Canis lupus familiaris: one gene and its partner. The protein of the gene in region 1 purifies or fractionates together with the protein of each later gene. This does not show direct contact. Links are inferred from orthologs where the notes say so. Each region holds a gene or a part of one and is shown in the gene's direction. Other genes may lie near its edges.

Region 1 (6,227 bases):
TTTTTTGTTTCCTCCTCTCCCCCTAGTCAAAATCTTGAGGGGTAGATTACAAGATTCTGGCTTTTTTTTAAAAAAAAAAAACCCCAAGTAGGAAGCTTTGGAAATTACTAGCTTAGAGTTAAGGTTTGGAAACCACTAGCTTAGTCTTAGACCAAACAGAGCTAGGGTAGCAAGATGGAGAAGCCACCCAACGTGCCCACACTCTGATAAATACTCATATTTTACAACAATACACAGTTAAGCTTCAGTTATTCCGAGATCGGCTTTCCAGCAAATTTTGTCTGGAGGAGGGCCAAAACTGGAAGTTGAGGAAAGAAAACACCTCTCACAGGGAAAGAACTTTTGAGAGTGAACGAGCAATAAAAATCTCTCAAAATATCACTTGATGTAGAGTCCCTGTCCTATTTACTGATGGGAAGAAAAATGATTCTCTCATTAGCCGGCTGTGGATATGAACATCTGATCAATCATCGCCTGGAGCCAGAGAAAAGCCATCAGGAAAAACGAGTAAAAAATAAACAGTAGAGTAGAAAGGATGAGAGGAAGGCTCAGAGTGGATAAAGAGACAGATGAGATGAGAAGCAGTGACAGGTTATTAGAAAAGGTGATGAGAGCATTCCAAAAAGGGGGGAAAAAAGAAAAAGAGAGAGAGTGAGAGAGTGAGAGAGAGAGAGAGAGAGATCACCGAAGTAGGGAATCCTAGATCCCTAAGCAATCCCCTGGGACTTTAGCAAATGGCCAAGGTATCTAACCCTAACCCTGACTGTAACCCTAACCCTAACCCTGACGTGTTTGATTGTCAGTCATCGACAAAGGATTTCATTAAAATGCTGTATTCTTTAAGAATGTAGGGAGTAATCAGGTTTTAAAAGGATTTCTGAGGGATCCTTGGGTGGCTCAGCGGCATAGCGCCTGCCTTTGGCCCAGGGCATGATCCTGGAGTCCCGGAATCGAGTCCCATGTCTGCTCTCTGCACGGAGCCTGCTTCTCTCTCTGCCTCTGGGTGTATGTGTGTCTTTCGTGAATAAATAAATAAAATCTTTTAAAAACAAAAAATAAAAGGATTTCTGGAAAAAGGGTTACAATGAAAGATAATAATAATAAAAAACACGGCTATTTTAAAACGCCGTGCAATTACTAAAGTGAATTAGAGCCTGAGCAGGGAGCCGGGGGACACTCATCCCGGGTTTTGGAGGGCGCGGTCCCCGGGGTCGGACCCCTTCCCAGGGCCTTCCGCCGAGTCCTCAGCAGGGAGCAGCCCGGCCAGCCGCCCCCCCCCCCCCCCCCCGACTGCTGCCCGTTTGAAGCAACCCGTGCTCCCTTCGCTCCGAAGTCCTCGCGCTGTCGTGCAAATTAAGGTAACGGGTGTCCGTGCGATTGGGCCGGGGAGCACACCAAGACACGCCCCCCACCCCCACCCCCCAGCAGCACCCCCCAGCAGCACCCCCACCCTGCCACGTTTTCAAATGAAGTAATTATCTAAATATTTTTGCTTGCCGTAGAGATCCGGGGCTCTAAGTGTTTAGGATGGAAAACCTCCAACCCACTTGGCTTGGCTTCCTAGTCCTTGGGGGGGGGGGGGGAGGGGGGTGTCTTTAAAAGCACCTGCCAGCATTTAAGTTCTGGTGCTTTCGGAGAGAGGCTGACCCGGCGCGTCCCAGAGGGAGCCTTTTTCCAGTCTGCACGGAGAACCGCGTGAGTGGCCCCCCAGGGATGTCGATTCACCCTCCCACACACCCCTGCTTCCCCCCTGCTTCCCCCTAGGGTCGCCCGCAGGCTGCCGGGGCAGATGCTTCAGCGGGACCCCGAGCGGCGAGGCCGCGGGATCCAGCCTGCAGCCCCGGGAGCTGGAAGGGGGCGCTCCGAGGCGCAGCGCCCGGCGGGGGCGTGGCTAGGGGCGTGGCTAGAGGCGTGACCAGGGGGCGTGGCCAGGGTGCGGGCGGCCGGGGGCGCCGTCGGCGAGGCTCGCGCAGCCGCAGTGGGCGCGCCGACGCCGGGCTCCTCCTCCTCCCGGCTCCGTAGTAAGCATGGCGGCGGCGGCGTTCGTGGTCCCTCGGGTGAAACAGAAAGCGGGAGCTGCGCGGAGAGGGAGCGGAGAGCGGGGCTGAGGCGGCGCCGTCACCGCCGGAAAACCACGCCGACAGTCAGCGCGCCGGCGGCCGCAGCGGCCCCCCGGGAGCTGGCGCTGCCGCCCAGGCAGGGCGAGGACGGTCGGGAAGCCGAAGGAGGGGCGCCCGGGAGCCGCCTTCCTCCGCCTCAGAGCGGCGTGACTCGGAGGTGAGAGACGGGGGACGGCGAGCCGGCGCCGCGGGGACCGTTAGGCTGCCGGGGGCGGGGGGGCGGGGGGCCCGTCGGGGGGCAGGGCGGGGGCGGCGCCCGCCCACTTGTCGCCCACCTGCCGGGCCCGAGTCCCGCTGCGAGGCGCCTGAGGGGGGGCGGGGGGCGCGACCGCGACCGCGACCCGCCCCCTCCCCTTGCCCCTCCCCCTCCCCCGCCGGCGGGGAGCAGCGCGGCTCGCGGAGGCTCGGGGCGCCGAGCGCGGAGCCCGGCGGAGAAGGTCGCCGAGCGGTCGCCGCGCCTCAGCTTGGGCCGCCGCCGAACTGAGACGCTTTTTCCGGAGCGCGTCGCCGCCCCCGCCCCCGCTCCTCTGAAGGGGTTAAAACGTCCACGAGCCCGCCCTTGGCCGTCGGGTGCTGCGCGGCCGGCGCCCCGTACCTGGCGGTTCTCCGCGAGCCACCTGTTGGGGCGGGAGGGCACTGCCGGGGCTGCCGCGCTCGCTCGCGCTGCTGAGGAACCACCTGGATCCGTGAACTCCGGACACGGCGGCGGCGGCGGCGGAGGGACGCCACGCGTCAGGTAAGGCGGACGGGCGAGTGATGCCGCCGCTCCGGCTGCAGCGGGAACGCGGGCTGTCGTCGTTAGTGTCGCCCTCGGTCGATCTTGTACCGCTCTGTCCGCGCTAAAAAGCTCGGGGGTATTTTTTCCTTTTTTTTTTTTTTACTTTTACTTTTTTTTTTTTTTTTGCCGGGGGGGGGGGGGAGTGGGGGGACAGGGAGGGAGCCTGTAATGGACGCTGGAGCGCCCGGAACCGTGCCTTCGAGATCTTCCGTTGTGAAATTTTAACGTGTCTCTGGACACCTTTGTGTCTGAGCATCTTCTAACCCAAGGATCGTTAAGCTGATAAGGTATTTTTTTTTTCTTTCCTTTTTTTTTCTTCTTCCTTTTTTTTCCGCAGTATGATCCCTCCTACGTTGTTGTCCAGTATGGACTTTGAAAACCGAGCCGCCTCATTATTAAGCTTAACTGCGGGCTGTTTTTTTTTTTTTTTTTTAGTTCTGGAAACCAAAGTTGCAGGGTTTTTTTTCTTTTTTTTCTGTATCCTAAGAATGAAAAGAAAGAAAAAAAAATGACTGAAGTTGAACTGTTACTCCACTATTTTCCCCGCCGTGCCGTTTCCAGCACCAGCGGGAACTAAACATATGCCCTACTCAGGAGTTAGAGCCATATGTCAGGCAGCAACTAATTGGGATTTGTGGCCCTGATCTCGGTGTTTGGATAAATATTTAGTTTTTTTGTGCATTTGCTAAATCTGTAATTCTTGCCGTCGTGTCAGTTTTGTTTGAATCACCTATAAATATTCCAGAGGAATGACTCCTCTGCCTTTTTGGTATTTTCTTGGTTGAGTTGATTTCATCTCAGGTCATGAGATAAAGTGCCTGTTGAGGCAGAGGGTGGGCTTAACAGAAAACAATGATAAAAAGGATTTTTAGCACTTTTTTTTTTTTTTTTTTAAATAACCTGGAACCTAAAATTTGCTTTCAGCTCTCTGGCCGACTGATAATGCTTGCCATCACTAAATAACACTAGTTAGTGGGGAAAAAAGAATGATTTAACAGGGAGGAAAAAAAAACACCTCACTAAGATTTTTGTAAATAATGTCATATTCAAAAGTTTTTAGCGTTGTTCTGGTAAATTTTACTGTTTTTTTTTTTTTTCTTCAGAGATCGTCTCTCAGTTTTCTTATGTAGAATGACAGAGAAATTTTTTTATCCTTAGCTGGGTGCCTTTAGCCACCTGTATGCTTCTGAGTTAACTCCCTTTTCCCCTTTGTCTCTCCTTTTGAATTCTCAAAACCATTGAGTGTTTAGGGAAGATAGACTTCTAGTTAACCCTGGCCTTAGTCAGATGTAATTATAAGGGCAGTTTGCTTCTTCCAAATTACTGATATACATTTGAAAAAAAACCAATGCTAGGATTATCTTTTGGTGCCATCTGTGTCATCACTTCCCCTCATCATGTGAGTAATTGACAGCTGATTCATTTTACCATGCGTTTAATAATTACTTTTTAATTGTAAAATTTCTACAGTATAATATTAAGCATATTTTATTCATAATTAAGAAAACTGTCTCTCTCTTCTCTGACCAGCCAGGCATAGGTAAGGACTGAGAGACTATAAAACCCAGGACTAAAAGAAGGAATATATGATTAATATCCTCATCATCCTCTGTAGCTTAACTTAGGTAAAGAGCGCTTACTTTATAATACGCCGTATTGTTAGTATAAACTCATGGGTAATAAAATGCTTGTTTTAAAACATTTCTTTTTTATGTGCGTACATGCAAGTCTTGTGCACCTTATATTTTGCCTATATTTTTATAACAACAGTTTGGTCAAGTAATAAAAATTTTTTTAGGGATCCCTGGGTGGCGCAGCGGTTTGGCGCCTGCCTTTGGCCCAGGGCGCGATCCTGGAGACCCGGGATCGAATCCCACGTCAGGCTCCCGGTGCATGGAGCCTGCTTCTCCCTCTGCCTGTGTCTCTGCCTCTCTCTCTCTCTCTCTCTCTATCATAAATAAATTAAAAAAAAAAAAAAAAAAAAAATTTTTTTATATTCTTGGTGCATTTTTGTATGGTGGTATACTTGAGAGTGATATAAGGGTATGCACTTGGTTTCCAATTTTATTAGCCAGATAATCAAAAGATAAATGATTGGTGTTTTTTTTTTCCTTAACAATTTCTAGCACACCTCAAATAAATTTAGAGTATTGAAAATCTAAAGATTTAGGGTACAGTGCATGTCTATCCCACTGAATCTTTTAGGGCTTCAGTTATCACACTGCAAAAAAAAAAAAAAAAAAATCCTTAATGGATATCAATGTCAAGAGCTGCCTGTTGAAAGGAAATTAATGGCCGATAGTGTTGAAAGGCAGATTTTTTTAAACATGTATTGTAAGCTTTTATAACTTTCTTACTATTTTGATATCATTTTATTTCAGAATATTTTTCAGTGGTCTCTTAATTTCTTGATCCTTATTTTTCTATCCTTCCATATTATAGTTTTGTTTGTGTTTCACATACACTTTCTAAGTTTGCAGTACAGCTTATGGTCTTCCATCAAGTTATTTTGTGGGTATCTTCCTTTGATATTTCCAATCACTTATCACCCATTTTCCAGTCTTCAGATTATTTTTTTCTCCAAGATAGAGAGGTACACTTGGGAGATGACATGTGCTCAAAGGATGATGAGCCACTATTGAAGTGGGGATATTAAAGCAGTGTGGTATCTTTACTTCCTTCAAGTTGTTTAGAAAATAGTTGTAGATACTAGACTAACAGGAAATCATTAGTGAAAATATAAGATGTTATTATTAAATTGGATGGCCAGGACTTAATTTGAAAGAAAGTGAGTCCACTGAGGGATCATGGAAGGCATTTGGAAGAAATCAGACTTGAAGCCTGGGAAGGACTTAGCACAAGGACAGACACTCCGAAAAAGGTTGACATCCAGAGCTGGAAGTAGGGGGGCACGAACCAGTCTGAGAGCATCCAAGGATAAGTAGTAAGAGCAAGAAAGAAAGAAGTTTGCCTGCAGATTTTGACAAGCCCCAGGGCATGGTAAAAAAGAATATGCAGGGCTGGAGAAGATAATTTGGCTGGATCATTATGAATTCATCACTCAAAGAACTGTAGGTCTGCCTTGACGTATTAATAGCTTAAGCTTTGTGTGTAAGAGATAGCTGTATATGTCTTATATGTAGTTATTACAGCTTAGATCAGGAATTGGCAAACTTTTTCTATAGAGTGCCAGATAGTCAATATTTTAGGCTCTGCATTTAGAGCCTACTTGTAGTCTCTATTGAGTATTCTTTTTTGTTTATTTCTTAAAGTAATTTTTTGTAAATACAAGAATCATTCTTAACTCAAGGCCAAACAAAAACAAGCTG
Region 2 (6,394 bases), on another chromosome or scaffold:
CCAAGCTGCCCAACAAATTAATGTGTGATGAATCATAGACCTAACTGTGAAGGTTAAAGCAATCAGGTTCCTAGAAGAAAATAAAGGCAATGATCCCTACGGCCTTAACACCAGGCAATGATTCTTCAAACAGGACATGAAAGCCCCAGTCCTAAAATATAAGATTAATAAATTAGACTCCTTTAAACTTAAGAATTTCTATTTGTCAAAAGATAGCATCCAGAGAATGAAAAGAAAATCACAGACTGGGAGAAGATATTTGTCATGCATATACTGGGCAAGGACTTATACCCAGAATGTGTAAAGAACTCTTACAGATCACTAAGAGAGACAACTCTCTACAAATGGACAAAAAGACTTGCACTAAATACACTAAAAAGATATCAAATGGCCAGTTGCGTCTAAGAAATTTCTCAACATCACTGATCAACAAATAAACGTAAATCATAATACAATACACGCTCGCCTTTTTAAATTAAAAAGACCGATGATACCAATACTGGCAAAGATGTGGAGCAACCGGAAATCTCACATCGCTCATTGGAATACGAATTGTTATACCACTTGAGTAAACCATTTGGCAATACATTTAAAGCTTAATATGTATATACTCTGTGATTCTGCAATTCCAATCCTGTATATATAGACCTGAGGGTATAAAGGTACAGTTATGCCAGATGAATAAATTCTGGGGATCTAATGTACACCACGGTGACTATAACTATAGTACTGTATTATATAACTGAAATTTGCAAAAGAGAGTTTGATATTAAGCATTTGCACTACACATACACACGTGGTAACTATGGGAGGTAATGGCTAGGTTGGTTGTGGTAATCATTTCACAATGTACATTAAAACATCATGTAGTACGCCTTAAATGTACCTAATTTTTAATTGCCAACTACACTTCAATGAAGCTAGAAAAAAAAAAAAAGATAGTTTGTAGCAGCTTCATTCAGGATAGACAAGAACTTGATGCAACCCAAACATCTACCAGTAGGAAGAGTGTATCAATTATTGAATATTTATACAATTAAATAATATACAACAATGGAAAAGAATGAACTATTGTTACATCGACCAAATGGATGAATATTATAGACACACCGTTAAGTGAAAGGAGATGGACACAAAAATGCACAGACATGTAATTCATCCACATCCAGTTCAAACCCTGGAAAACTAACCTGTGGTGATAGAGGTCAGAACAGCGTTGACCCTTGAGGGACACGGAATGGGAAGGGGCATGAGGAAGCTGGAGATACCTGAGTGTACACATACATAGAAATTCATCATGGTGTAACCCCAGCTTTGTGCACTATCCTGAATGTATATCTCAAAGGGTGAAGAGAAAAAAACCAGACCATACACCCTGATTTCATGTCCAACAATAGAATCACTGTTGCTTTCCCCCACGGAGGCATGCTGATATCCTATCTCATCAACCTTCCGGGAGACTTCCCCCTGCCCCCAGAGAGCTCTTGAGATCTTGGCAGACACGGATATTTCAGGCGGGGTCGCAAGGGGAGGGATAGGGAGATCCCGCACCTGGGAAGTAACCTTCCTCTCCACCACCCAGTAGGGGGATCCGCACAAGCTCAGTAAACGTTTATTGATCACTAACAACAGCTACTATTTGATATGAGCAACACTTGCCACACAATTTGCGTGAGACACTGCACTAATAGCCTTCCATGTTCTTATCCAATACTTACAGAAGCCTAGGAAGCTGCTCTAGCTTTAGCCTCATCATACAGGTGAGCAAACAGGTTTACGGGGAGAGTTAAGTCGTTGCCCAAGGCCTTGCAGATAGACAGGTGGTGAGCGGAGGTCCCAGCCCACACTGACCTGAGTTTCGAACCTGGACCCCAAGCCGCTGGCTACGGAGCCGGCGGCTGGTGTCCAAGCCCGGCTCGCACCTTCTATAATACACGCGGCCCTCGGGGGCGCGGCCACGCGGTCGCAGTTGTCAGCCTGGGCGACCGGACTTCTCGAGGCCCGCACCCGCTAACCACACACAGGTGCAGCCTGCGGGCGGAGGGCCAGCCTCCAGGCAATTTGCTTGGGGGGAAGAGGAAGGCTTCCTCGGCTCACAAGCCACAAGCTGGTGTGTGTGTGTGTGTGTGTGTGTGTGTGTGTGTGTGTTTCCAGACCTCAAAACACACGCGGGAGGTAGGCGTCGGGGTGTCACTGCCCGCTCCGGAGAGAAGAGGAGCAAGGCCAAGATCCCCGGAGGAGCAAGAGGAAAGCAGGCCTGCGAGGCAGCAGGACGGAGACGGAGGAAGAGGCGACGGACGGCGACGGCAGCAGGAGCCCGGCGGAGAGCAGAGCCCCGGGACTCCGGGGTTGGGGCGGGGGAGCCGGCCAGGCCCCTCGACTGCGCCTGCGCCTGCGCCGCGCTCCCGCCCGCCCACCCCGCCCCTTCCCGCCGCCGAAGATTTACTCGTCTCTCGGCAACCATTCAGCCGGGGGCCAATCAGGGGGCCCCGCGCGCCCCGCCCTCGCCGTCAGCGCCGCGGCGGGAGGACCCCGAGGGCGCTGGCTCCGCCCCGCCCCGCCCCTCGCTCCCCGGGGAGGGCAGGCTGGGCGGGGCGGGGCGGGGCGGGCGGCGGCGGGGGCGTGGCCAGGCCGTATAAGAACGGAGGGGGCGGCGGCGGGACCGCTCTCTCGGTGCCGCTGCCTGGGGGCTGCAGTGACCGCGCCGAGGACCTGCCTCTGTCGTCGCCTCTTCCGCCGCCCAGGTGAGTCCCCAGCCCCCTGCCCTACAGGTGCGAGGATGCGGCGGCCCCGGAGCGCCGCGCGCGCTGCCTTCGGGGCGGGGGGGGTCGGTCCCGCCGAGCGGAGCTCCGGGCTTCCCAGAGCCGGGGGGGGCGGGGGGCCGGGGGGAGGCACGGACAGGTGCTCCCTGCCCCTCCAGCCCCCGCGACGGCACCCCGCGCGCACGCTCATCCCCCGCCCCGCGAGGACCAGGCGTGACGCCCGGGGAGGGAGCTGCAACTTTCCAGAGACTTCGGCCGGGGCTTGGCAAACTTGGGCGAGTTCCTGCTCCGCGCGTCCCGCGGGCTGCGTTCTGGCCGGCGCGGGCGGGGAGGCCGAAGAGGCCGAAGAGCTTGCGCCCCCCGCGCCCCCGCGCCCCCGCGCCCCCGCGCCCCCGCGCCCCCCGCGCCCAGGCCGAGCGCGAGTTCGAATGCGGCGGTTTCGGGAGGCGCAGTTGGAGACGGAGCAGGCCGGGGAGGGCGGGGGCGCCGGCGCTTCCCCGGCTGGGCGCCAAGCCCGGGGTTTCCAGGTCAGGGCAGAGGCTCTCACTTTCCGTGGACTCGCGCTGGACGGTGCCCCCGCGAGCAGCCCCGGGGCCCGAGCGAGGGACGTCCGCGCGCCGCAGGTCCCGGGACTGTGCGGGATGCGGCGACCGCGTCCTGCCGGGCCCCTCCCCCGTTAGGGAGGACACTTGCCCGCCGTGGGAAGAGCGCAGACGAGCAGCAGCCTGGGCTAGCGGGGCCGCGGGGGCCGCCCCAGGTCGCAGAGGTGGGAGGGGGGTCGGAGGAGGGCGAGGGCCTGAAGCTGACCGGTACAGCTTGGTAGCTGGACGGCTAAACGCCAAGGCGGATGGGGACGGGGGCGTGGGGACACAAGACTGCGCTCCCTCAAAGTCAGGGAGGACTGGCGGGGAGAAGGCTGGCGAGCTTCCCTGGGGAACTCGAGCTCACCCCGGTTCATCGCGACTGGACCTCGCGGGGGGCATCAGCTCGGTCCCCTTCCCTCCTTCTACCCTGGAGGGAGGCTTCTGCAAGGCTGCATCCTTGTCTGGGGTGGCAACCTGCTGCTACCTCTTCAACTTTTTCTTTTTGATGGACGAGTAACATGCAAGCAATGGAGGGCTTTAAGTGCCGTTCTTACAGTCAGCGCTTCTAAAGACTGTGGTAATCATTTGTATGGTGACAGTATTCAGGATATTTGGTAGGTGGGTCAGGAACCTGAACCTCCCCAGGAAATAAAGATTATTAAATTCTTCTAAAGTAGATTCCTGGCTTGGCCCAGCTGCCCTTCATGGGGAAGGGGGTTGATGAGAGTGGCCATTGTTGGCTACACTAACCTTTCCACGGGAGTAACTTGGCAAGGAAGCCCACAAGGAAGCAAGCCAGGCAGCCTGGGGCTGCCCAGGGGTGGTGTGTGTGGTAGGGGTGGAGGGTGGGGAGAAGGGGTGGGGGGTAGGAGCACTTACCAAGAATTGTGCTGTGTCTTGAGGGAGTGAGACCCACCACACATGAGACCCCGCCAGCCATGGGTGGACGGGGTGGGGTGGGGAACTAGAGAGTGCTGACTTTTCTCTTCGCTTTCAGGGAGGCAGTCTGAGCTGGACCAGCAGGGGTTCTGTCCTTTGACATTCTTGTTTGTGAAGATGGAAAACTTAATATCTCTGGAGTCAAGCTTTTACTTGAGATAACTGAAACCTTGTGTCTTAAGGTATACCCATATCTTTAGAGTACATTTAGTCTCAATAAGGAGTTTTTAGAAAGAAGGTTTTGGTATATTGTATATTTTTGTTCAGGTGGCTGTGGGGAGAGTCCCATTATATAATGTGAAAGTTAAGCACACACACACTTTTTTCCCCCTCAGCTAGGAGGCATCTAAATTGCTACTCAAAATAAAGCTCTGTGATTTCATGACCGTGTCTGTCCCTAGAGCTCACAACAACACCCATTGGGTTGAGTTTCCTCCACCATATACCTCCCTTATATCCAGAGATTAAGCTGGGGTTCCTCTGCAGGAAAGGACGTGGATCTTGCCTATTTGCTAGAATGAGTGTGATTTAGTTGAGCACCAGTGGTTCTCCCTCCTTGGTTCCCTTGGCTGTTCCATGAGTACAAGTAGCTCACTGAGACCCCATCCTGAGTTACAGAACCCTCTCACCTCTGCATTTCCCAATATGCCCCACATAGCCTATACCCCCCAGTGTTCAAGGCCAGGGCAAATTGTGCACATCTTGCACTACCCATCAAAGAACAGAGAAGTCCCCGTACTTCTGAAAATCCAAGGACCTGCCTAGCAATAAAGATAACATAGAGGAGACTGTAGTGTCCTTGTTCTCCTGGGGCCAAGAATGGGACACATTTGATACAAAGTTAGCAAACGACATGTTGTTGTTTTTTTTTTTTAACCGCTCAAATAAGTCATACCTTGTCTTCATCTTTCATCTCTGATATATTGTGTGCCTGGGGCCAGTCACAAAGAATGACGAGCCAGAAGCTCTGACTGGATGTGGTAAACTTTTTTTGTATGTGTGTTACCAAGAGACATTGTGGAAACCCAAGACTAGTTTCATGAGTTAAGTTTAAACTTGTGTTGTTATGTTTGGGTTTCTTGGTCCCCTGCCAGATCTCTGGGCTCTGTGTGTGTGTGTGCGCGCGCGCACACACGCACACACACGCACACTAAGGGAATAAAGGGAAGTAATGTAGAACCTGAGGTGTTACTTGAGATAAAACATTACTCTGGTTAGATAAGGTCCATTGCTTTTTTTGTGATGTCACTGGAGTACACAGGTAATATAGAAAAATGTGTTGTGTCATCTTGGTGTTTTGACTATGGCCTATCAAATTGGCATAAGCTATATTATGATGAAGCAGCCACCTCTGTGTCTAAAGAAATGTTCATGTGTTTAAAAAAAGCCAGTTGGGTACAGCCATAGTGTTGATCTTCTGTGATGCTTCCCAGACTTTTGGTCTCAAGCCTTTTTGTCCATCTACTGTGTGCATTTTAAGGAAGCTCGTATTTGGAATTTAGATGGTGTAGACGAAGCATCTTTGCATAGCCCAGCTATGTAAGAAGCAGCCTTATGAATTGTTGAGAATCAATAGATTTTGTACAGCTGGTCCCTCTAGCCTGTCTTAGAACTGTTTGCAGAACTTCTTGGAACAACAGGAAAAAAAAAAAAAACCGAATATGAGGAAATAATTGCTGATGTTAAGTAACTCCGTCCAGGGTATTTTTCAGTCTCAGAGCCTTTTGGAGGCTTGGTCACTAAACTGCATAAAATGTTTATTTCTTGGATAACTGTGATTGAGTCAGTAAGTAGTTAAATGCTTCCCAGGCAGTGGCTAGTGCCAGGTGCCGAGGAGGCCAAGGCAGTGGTATGTAAAAAGGCCTGTGGAAGTGCTCAGGATGCAGGAGGAGCTGGGACAGCCTCAGAATGTACGGGCACTCGGATTTTGCTCGTTTGTCTTAGCCACTGGCATGTGAGCCCCAGGAAAGCAGGGATCTGTGCTCACTGCTGAATCCCCAGCGTCTGGAGCAGAGCCTGGGCCACGGAAGGTGCTCCTGTTGATTGGATATAGTGCATTCAGCTGCCATTCCTCTCAGCGAGGGAAATATACTTGCGGTGGATTCATTC

The links. The genes of interacting proteins can lie anywhere in the genome.
Region 2: the proteins of FNDC3A (region 1) and TENT5C purify together in Homo sapiens (affinity purification with western blotting; 3 studies listed by BioGRID, with this or other methods). This does not show direct contact. The link is inferred for Canis lupus familiaris from reciprocal best matches to the Homo sapiens genes FNDC3A and TENT5C.

The regions. Positions count from the first base shown.
Region 1 is NC_049243.1:2,662,711-2,668,937, reverse strand, and holds the start of FNDC3A (fibronectin type-III domain-containing protein 3A), read left to right. Parts: upstream 1-2,025; 5' UTR 2,026-2,277; intron 2,278-2,715; exon of another isoform or gene 2,716-2,936; intron 2,937-6,227. UniProt on the Homo sapiens protein: Mediates spermatid-Sertoli adhesion during spermatogenesis.
Region 2 is NC_049238.1:55,475,305-55,481,698, forward strand, and holds the start of TENT5C (terminal nucleotidyltransferase 5C), read left to right. Parts: upstream 1-2,621; 5' UTR 2,622-2,744; intron 2,745-3,171; exon of another isoform or gene 3,172-3,289; intron 3,290-4,343; exon of another isoform or gene 4,344-4,467; intron 4,468-6,394. UniProt on the Homo sapiens protein: Catalyzes the transfer of one adenosine molecule from an ATP to an mRNA poly(A) tail bearing a 3'-OH terminal group and enhances mRNA stability and gene expression.